2 linked regions of the Coturnix japonica genome follow. Each later gene encodes a partner of the first gene's protein in a complex. Links are inferred from orthologs where the notes say so. Each region holds a gene or a part of one and is shown in the gene's direction. Other genes may lie near its edges. The genes, in order: BAG3 and HSPB8.

Region 1 (3,808 bases):
GCAGGTACAGCCCTCGACTCCCATCACAGTACAGACGGTCGTAGACAGACCTCAGGTATGTAGAGCGGGGAGGGTTATTACCTTCCACTTATCTCTGCTAGCCGTGCTGGGCTAGAGCTGAAACAGTGGCTCATACCCACAGGTACATGAAAGCACATAAAGCATTTCTTAAACTTGCTGAGATCCTGAGATAAGCTTCCATCAAGTCATCTTTCCACCTATCAGGATTCTGAAGTCTTTGGATTGTCGAAATACATTAAGCAAATCATTTCTAGTACGTGATGTGATCTTTCCTCTCAGAGTATAATTTAATGCAATTACTCTGAGGTCAGTGATATTGCATTATGGTACTGAGAAGCCAATCAAGTCCATGGGATTTGTGGTATCTGTAAATATACCTCGCTGTTGTCTCCGAACCACTCAGGAGAGCAGCAACTGCACAGAGTAATTTTAGTTATGGTGAAAGAGAATCGGCACAATTTAATCTGAGAATACTTTATAACCAGAGCAAAAAGGAAAAAACAAACAAACAAACAATAAAACAGGAAAAAAAGACCAAAACTACACACCCTTCCTCTTCCAGCAATATGCTACTAGTAAATAGACTCCATAGCAGCAGGGAGGACTCAGTCTTGATTGAAATTGTAAATAAAAAAAACTTCTGAGAAGTGTGAGTTGTGAATCTACCTCTTCTGGAATAATACTTGATGCTGGTTGCTGCCCTTTTTAGCATATACTTTTTTTCACATTAAACAAAATATTCTTACTCAAGCTACAGTTAGAAGTCCTTTGAGTCAAGAATTCTTCAACATTATTTGAGTTGTCTTCTACTAGGAATTCCCTGCTATGGGAGGGGAAGGAGTGATGTATAAAAACAACCCTGGATTCCTTCTCTTCAGAGATTCCATGCTGAGAATGACAGGAAAACCAGGTGTTAGGACAAAAGAGTAAAGACTGACATATAGTTTATAATGTTAGTTTATCTTTAGAAGGTGAGAATTTGAGCTCCCTAAACAAATCTAATATTTAATGGTTAAAACAGTGTCAGTGCAGGCCAGTATATATAGCTTAAATATAAATGTGGGTATGTTAATGAGAGCCAAATCTACCTCCTTTCCAAAAACCATGTACAAACACAGTGGGTAAGTGAAGGAGGTGGCAAAACAAGGAAAATACAAGTCTCAAGAATTCAGTTTCTCCCATAGGATTTCATCACTCCTATCAGTTTTAAGAATTTTCTGACTTGATGACTGTTACATCTCTAGCAATCATTCTGATTGTCTCCAGTAACTCTGGCATAATAAGATTGACATAGTAACCTCTGCATGTAAAACTGAGAATATAGAATCACTAAAACTAAGCACTAACAAAAACATTACCTTGAAAGTAGGAAAATGAAATGAGAATAGCCCCAGATGAGATTAAAGCCCAGCAAAGTACTGATAGCTTTTCAAGAAATAGTAGCTCTTTGTTGCTGACACTCTAAGAATGAAGTGTTGATGCTGAAGACACGTGCTGAAATCTTATTTAAGTCAGGCTAGAGCTTTGCTGGAAGGTCCTACCTTATAAAACTGCTTGTAGGGCTGATCTTAGCAGGCATGAGCAAAGTTTAGTCAGTTGTAGTTTAGTATCTTGAGAACTGATTGGTGCTGGTACTCATTGCAGTAGTTTAAAAGCAGTACCTATCATCTCTTGAGCACAGAGCTTTGTGGTTTAGAAACCTCAAGTTCAGCACTACACAGGGAAAAGAGTATGTAATGAAAATTCATAGCTAATTAGGATAACAAGAGCAGTGTGAAACAAGACCCCTGTTGGGCTTGAAGGCTTTGTAGCTCTGCTTAAGTCCTTGTGATGTGGATGGTGCTTTAGGGAGCAAAAAGGGAGGCTCACAGCTTGCCTACATCTGCCACAGCTGAAAGTTGGATGGGCAAAACTAGAGGTTTTGCCAGAAAAAGAAGAATGGGGAAACTATCCCATCCCTATTCCATCTGCTTTCATTCCTGTTTTTAGCTTTCTCACTCTTGCTCTTACTGGACCACTCTAAGGCAACAGGGAAGTGTACCTTTGGGGGTACTTTTGCCAAATGCCTGGCAACAACCTCTAATGTACTTCCTATGCTTCAGCGTTAAGTCCTTGATTTTTAAGAGCATCTGCTGGCTTTTATGTGTACTCCAATTTGAGATAGCTTAATGGTCTGGATTTCAGAAGAAAAGATGCTGACACCTCCTGAAAATCAGGGTGTTTTTCTAGATTTCAGTTTGAGTACCTGCAGTTGGGATCCTTTCCTAAAAGCAAATAATAATAATTATCTTGGGCTAAGCTTTTGATTTTTATGATTTTATTACCTGTTTTTAAAAAGAAATAAGAACATTGTTGACTGTGTTTCAACATAAACTTGTCTTCCTCACCAGGTTTCTCAGCAACAAGTCCCTCCTCCAGAGCCACCAAGACCATCTCCACCACCTGAAATCAAAACTGAAACCAAGACAATCCCACCGCCTGAAACTGAGGTGCCTGCAACATATATTCCAATTTCGGTCACCTACCGAGAACCAGATACTAAAATACCACCTCAGAAGCCTCCAGCCATGGCAGAGAAAGCAGATAAAAGGGTTCCCTGTTCAGCTAAGGCTGTTCCTCCGCAGGAAAGGCCTGCTCCTGAAGAAACTGTGACATCGAAGACAACGGAAACAGCAGAACCTCAAAAGCATCCTGGTGTTTTGAAAGTGGAGGCAATTCTGGAGAATGTACAAATGCTTGAGCAGGCAGTCGACTCCTTTGAAGGCAAGAAAACTGACAAAAAGTACTTGATGATTGAAGAGTATTTGACCAAAGAATTGCTAGCCCTAGACTCGGTGGACCCCGAGGGTCGTGCGGATGTGCGTCAGGCCAGGAGAGATGGTGTAAGGAAGGTCCAGAACATTTTGGAAAGACTTGAACAGAAAGCAGAAGATGTCCCAGAACCAGTTCAAGTCGATGGACTTCAGCCAACCTTGGCAGAGCCTAAGCCACCACAGGAAATCATGGAGATTGAACCTGTGGTAGTCAAGAGCAAGGGAGATACCAGTAATAAAGATGTTAAAGAGGAAAGCAAAATGGAAAGACATCAGCCTGAGACTAAGGAAGAAGTGTTTACCAATCTGACCACCACCACAAACACATCTAATAACCCAACCGAGCCATAGCTATGTGCTGAAATTAAAATCTCTCAGACTTCGTAACTTAAAGTGTGTTTAAGTGAATTTTAAGTTGCATGCATTTCCAGAGCTCTTTTCAACTGGTTTTTAATCAACATAGCAGCTTGGGACGCAGTAAACACTTGTGGGGAAGGAGGGAGTTAGAAAGAAAGTAATGCATTTATCCTTTATTCTTACACTATGTAAAGACATGTTCTCAAAAACAAACTCTGTACATTAATCTCTTTTAGATCTTCTGAGTGGAAAAAAAAATAAAATAAAAAGAAAAGGAACAACTTTGGGGTTAACATTGATGTGTGTTGTTTGGGATGTATTCTTCTGCAGGTGATTTTTGTACAATCAAAGGCCTGCATTGTTGGAATGCTGGTCCTTCTTTAAGTGTAGCCACTCATGTAACAGCAATGTTTTTATTTTTAATGTTCACAGTTGGGCACTTTAAGCAGTGGTGGGTAGAAAGTGTGTAAGAAACTGTAGGGATATTTATATGTGTGCAGGACTTCAATGCTATATTTTAAGAGGGAAATAAAATAATATAGAAGCCTAATTTAGTCTTGTGATTTTATGAGCTGGAGATGTAAGAGCTGCAATCGGTTTCAAATGCACTGAAGTCT
Region 2 (4,511 bases), on another chromosome or scaffold:
AGATCTTACACCATTTTGGGGGCAGTGGGGATGCTCTGTGTCCCCTGATAATACCAGCCACCAAGTCCTGAGGGCAGCTGAGATGTGCACCTGGGAATGGTCTGACCATGGCACAGACACAGACATGGGGCAGTGTCCCCAGGTCGCTTGGCAGACAGGAGGGCTCTGCGCTCCCCAGAGCTGACGTGGCGGTGCTGGCAGCTGTGGGAGGTGACTGGGAGATTTGGAGTGACAACAGGAGCTAAATTGGGATTCCTGGAGAGGGACGTGTGACTAATGGGGATAAGCAAGGCGACAAGACGGATTCCTGGCCTGGGAGGGAGGATGGCCTGGAGCTACTCGGGAAATGTGGGACTGGAGATCTCGGGGTGAAATGTGGTAGGGATGGAGGCGGCCATGGGGCTGTCCCAAACTGTGTGTTGGTGTCACTCTGGGTGATGGGAGCACTCAGCCAGGCAGGGCAAGAGATAGAGGACACTTCAGCCTCTGCTGACTGCTGCTTCTCTGCTCCTCCCCACACCTCCAGTCATAGCCCAGTCCCTGGGGAGACCCCATGATGCCTGGCTGTGTCTCCCCATGCCCACCAGTGAAGATGAGGGATAAGGGCAGGAAGCAGCCGCTCCCCATGCAGGCAAAGGCCCTGCCCAGCGATGCCATGTCTCTGCTCCATGATTAATGCCCTCTGAGCCACCAGCGGCTGTATTGCAGCGTGGCCTGCAGCGCATTACGGCCTTCCTGCTGCAATTTATTCCAGCAAGTCCATTAGAGAGATTGCAGATGCTGAGGAAAGCGAGGTAGAAACAGGAGGGAGCGAGGAAGCAGTGCAGCATCTGGCACATCACTGGTGACACTCATCGGCGTGCTGGGACCCCCTCTGCAGGAACCCCACTGCCACCAGGAGCCCCAGTGCCACCAGCTCCAGGTACCCCGCCGCACCCCATCCCCTACAGCCCTGTAATTAGCCCCGCGCGGCTGTGATTACGCCTCGCCCTGCTGCGGCACGGCCAGGCACGCGATGAGAAGGAGGAGGAGGAGGAGGAGGTGGGTGAGGACGGGGCCACGTAGGGTCCCACTCCCACCCCAATGATTCTGGGGCATTGCTCCAGGCCCAGCCCTGGGCATCAGCTCACAATCCCAGCCACTTTTTGCTGGTGACGCACCTCCGGGTGCAGTGGGTGTGCAGTGTGGGGCCCGGCCCCACCTGGGGGTATTTTTGATGGGTGACACAGGAGTGTGTGCAGCCCACCCTGAGCTCCCCAGTTATTTTTAGGCAGGTGCCAAAAACACCGCGCCTGCTGGGATCCTCAGGCCGGCGCAGGAGGTCAGCTGCACAGCCCGGATTCTCCACGGCTGTTTCATCCTCTCCAAAATACTCGGCTGACAGGGCAGGAATTGCAAAACACAGCCTCCCCCTCCCGCAAGCGTATAAATAGCGCTCGCCCGGCGGTGGAAGGTTGCAGAAGTTTCTCGGCTCGGAGCTCAGGCATTTATTGCAGCTCTCACCCGGGAGCGGTGGGGAAGCAGCACAGTGCTTGTGGGAGCAAGAGGGGAGAGAGAAGCTCTTAATCTCGGGATATTCGGTTTGATTTTTTCCCCCCCCCTCTCCGGACAAGAAGTTTTATTTTCCTCCACCCGATCCCTGGGACCGAAGCCAATCAGGAAGCGTTTTCTTGCAGCTCACACCGTCCTCCCCACACTTGCTTTCCAAGCTCCGGATGCCTCAGCCCTGCTGAACCTCTTCCACCCATCGCGCTCTGCCCGGTGCCGGGCTCCCACCCAAACCCCCGCGTGTGGATGTGCCTGCCCTGGGCTGGGCTCCCCGGGGTATTCCGCAGCCTTTGAGGCTCCACAAGGAGCATAGAGCCATGGCCGACAGCCAGCTGCCCTTCTCCTGCCATTACCCTGGCCGGCGGAGCCTCCGCGACCCATTCCGAGAGCCCGGTTTGACCTCACGCCTCCTGGATGATGATTTTGGCCTCTCACCCTTCCCTGGGGACCTGACAGCAGACTGGCCTGACTGGGCTCGGCCCCGGCTCACCCCCACCTGGCCGGGCCCGCTGCGTGCCCGCGCTTCCGCCATGGCCCCCGGCTACAGCACCCGCTTTGGGGGGTACCCGGAGAGCCGCAGCCCTGTGCCCACCTCCCGCGAGCCCTGGAAGGTGTGCGTCAACGTGCACAGCTTCAAGCCTGAGGAGCTGACGGTCAAAACCAAGGATGGATATGTCGAGGTGTCAGGTGAGGGCTGGGGCTTGGGGAGTGGGATGGGGCTTGGGGACCATGGTGGCGTGCTCAGCACCAACACGGGAAGGCCGAGCCTCCTTTGGGGTGAATCTCTGGGATTTGTGTTCCAGCTGGCACCCAGCTGCGAGCTGCCGAGAGGGGCCCCAGCCTGGCTGGGTTAATTATAGCCAGCGAGGACGGAGCTGAGGGAGATTCCCTTTAAAGGGGCCGAGAGCGAGGCAGCCTGAAGCACCTCCCAGAGCTCCAGCGCTGCGCCCTGGCCAGGGCCCTGCACCTCCTGGGGCTGCCAGCACCGTGCCAGGACGCAGCACTTCTTCCAGGGGCTGATCTGGGGGGATGCTGTGGGTTGGGGGGAGCCAGGAGGCCTCAGAGCTTGAGCCCCATCTTCGTAGGGCTTGCACACAGCCCAGCAGAGCGGCTGAGGATGGGGATGGGATCCAAAGATTTGATCATGTCTGATGGCTCCTTCTTAAGCCCTGGCTCCTGGCAGCAAGCAGGGCTCAGGCTCCATGGGAAGCAAAGGTGTCTGGCGGGGAGAGCAGCTCTTCCTCCTCCTCCTGCTCCAACCAGTGCAGCCTCACAGGCCAGACGCTTAGTGCTGTTCTTCGTTGGTTGTGGTGTAACCCTCCTCACATGGGAGACACCCACGGAGGGAAGGGAAAACAACTCCTTTGGAAGGGTTCCTGGGGTTTGTTTTGCTTGTTGGCTTAAGCCCTGAGCCTAGTGTGGTGGTGACACGCCTTTGTCCTCCCCGCAGGCAAACACGAGGAGCAGCAGGTGGAAGGAGGCATCGTCTCCAAGAACTTCACCAAGAAAATCCAGTAGGTATCACCCTGCCCCGGGGCGTCCTCCCACAAATACAGCCCCATCCCCATGACATGCGATGGCCGCAGCCCCGCTGTTCCCATCCCCAAACCAGCCCTGTGGGCTCCTCCAGCCCAGATATGAAAGCAGAAAGGGATGCAAAGCACCGTGCTCCTCTTTTGGGGCTGATCTCATCACCAGCCCCAAAACACACCCATCCCTGGTGTGCGGCCACACGTGCACCCACATCCACATCTGAGTGATGTCAGTCTGATTGCTATCGCGCTGACTCACCCCAGCAACAACAACAGCAGGGAGGGAAGGCGAGCCCAGCACCGAGGGCAAACCACAGCAGTGCAGCAGTGGCTCTGCAGCTTCGCTTTACCAAAACCTCCCAGCAAAGCCGCGTGTGCTGCGGGTGGGAGCCAGCAGCCAGGCTCCTTTTATGGGCAAGGCATGGGCACGACGCAGCAGCCGGGCGAGCGCGGGCAGCAGTGACGTCCCATCAAACACATCTGCCACGGAGATTAAACAGAGCGCCAGGCAGCCCAGGGGCCACTTTAAATATCCCTATGCATTCCCAGGCACTGCAGCAGTAACACAACTGGGGGTTGTGAGCCCAGACAGGGTTCCTGCTGGGCAATCTCAGTGGGAAGGCTGTGAGCCCCACATGGCTGCGCCATCTCCTAACCCCACACATCTCTCTCCCCCTCCAGGCTGCCCTACGAGGTGGACCCCATCACTGTCTTTGCCTCCTTGTCGCCGGAGGGGCTGTTGATCATCGAGGCGCCCCAGATCCCCCCCTACCAGCAGTACGGCGAGGGCAGCTGTGGCAGCGAGATCCCATTAGAGAACCCAGAGGCCACCTGTGCCTGAGGGCCCCTGTGCCCCTGCTCCACTCCCCCGACCCTATTCCCCCCCAACCCCGCTCCTCGGGCCCCAGCGGGGTGGCCCCGGGGCACGGCCCCTCCCGCTCCCTGGGAGCAGCTGCCCCACAGTGGTCTGACACTCTGGTAGAGGCTTTGCATCCATCAGACCCAGCAGAATGGGTGTCTTCGTTACGGTTCTTTTAATGCTGTAAGGTGAGCAGATGGGATATTTGTAACAATAGCGAAAAAGTGCCCTTTTCTCTTCTTAAGTTGAAGTGGAACCCCGTGGTCCCGTGTCTTCTTCTTCTCTGTTTTTGGTTTTGTTTTGAACTCCATCTCCACGCTGGCCCCTTGGCAGCCTGCAGACACAGCCGGCAGTGGGGCCAATGGCACAGCCCTGCCCCAGGCAGACAAACCCCCACCAGACCTGCTGAGAAGTGTAAACTGTCTGCATGTTTTGTTTTGTTTTGTTTTTGTTTTTATTTTTGTTGGGTTTTGTTGTTTTATTTTTTCTTTTTCCAAAAAGAACTTGTGATTTTACTTACCAGACTTGAGGAATAAAGACGAGTTGATGTTCTTAGCCTCTTCTGGTCTTCG

What was found.
Region 2: BAG3 (region 1) and HSPB8 share a complex: the UniProt entries of both Homo sapiens proteins name them as parts of the chaperone-assisted selective autophagy (CASA) complex. The link is inferred for Coturnix japonica from reciprocal best matches to the Homo sapiens genes BAG3 and HSPB8.

Annotation. Positions count from the first base shown.
Region 1 is NC_029521.1:27,003,690-27,007,497, forward strand, and holds the end of BAG3 (BAG family molecular chaperone regulator 3), read left to right. Parts: coding exon 1-55; intron 56-2,411; coding exon 2,412-3,185; 3' UTR 3,186-3,741; downstream 3,742-3,808. UniProt on the Homo sapiens protein: Co-chaperone and adapter protein that connects different classes of molecular chaperones including heat shock proteins 70 (HSP70s), e.g. HSPA1A/HSP70 or HSPA8/HSC70, and small heat shock proteins (sHSPs), e.g. HSPB8.
Region 2 is NC_029530.1:8,625,788-8,630,298, reverse strand, and holds HSPB8 (heat shock protein beta-8), read left to right. Parts: upstream 1-1,437; 5' UTR 1,438-1,865; coding exon 1,866-2,235; intron 2,236-2,998; coding exon 2,999-3,062; intron 3,063-3,761; coding exon 3,762-3,921; 3' UTR 3,922-4,494; downstream 4,495-4,511. UniProt on the Homo sapiens protein: Involved in the chaperone-assisted selective autophagy (CASA), a crucial process for protein quality control, particularly in mechanical strained cells and tissues such as muscle. Displays temperature-dependent chaperone activity.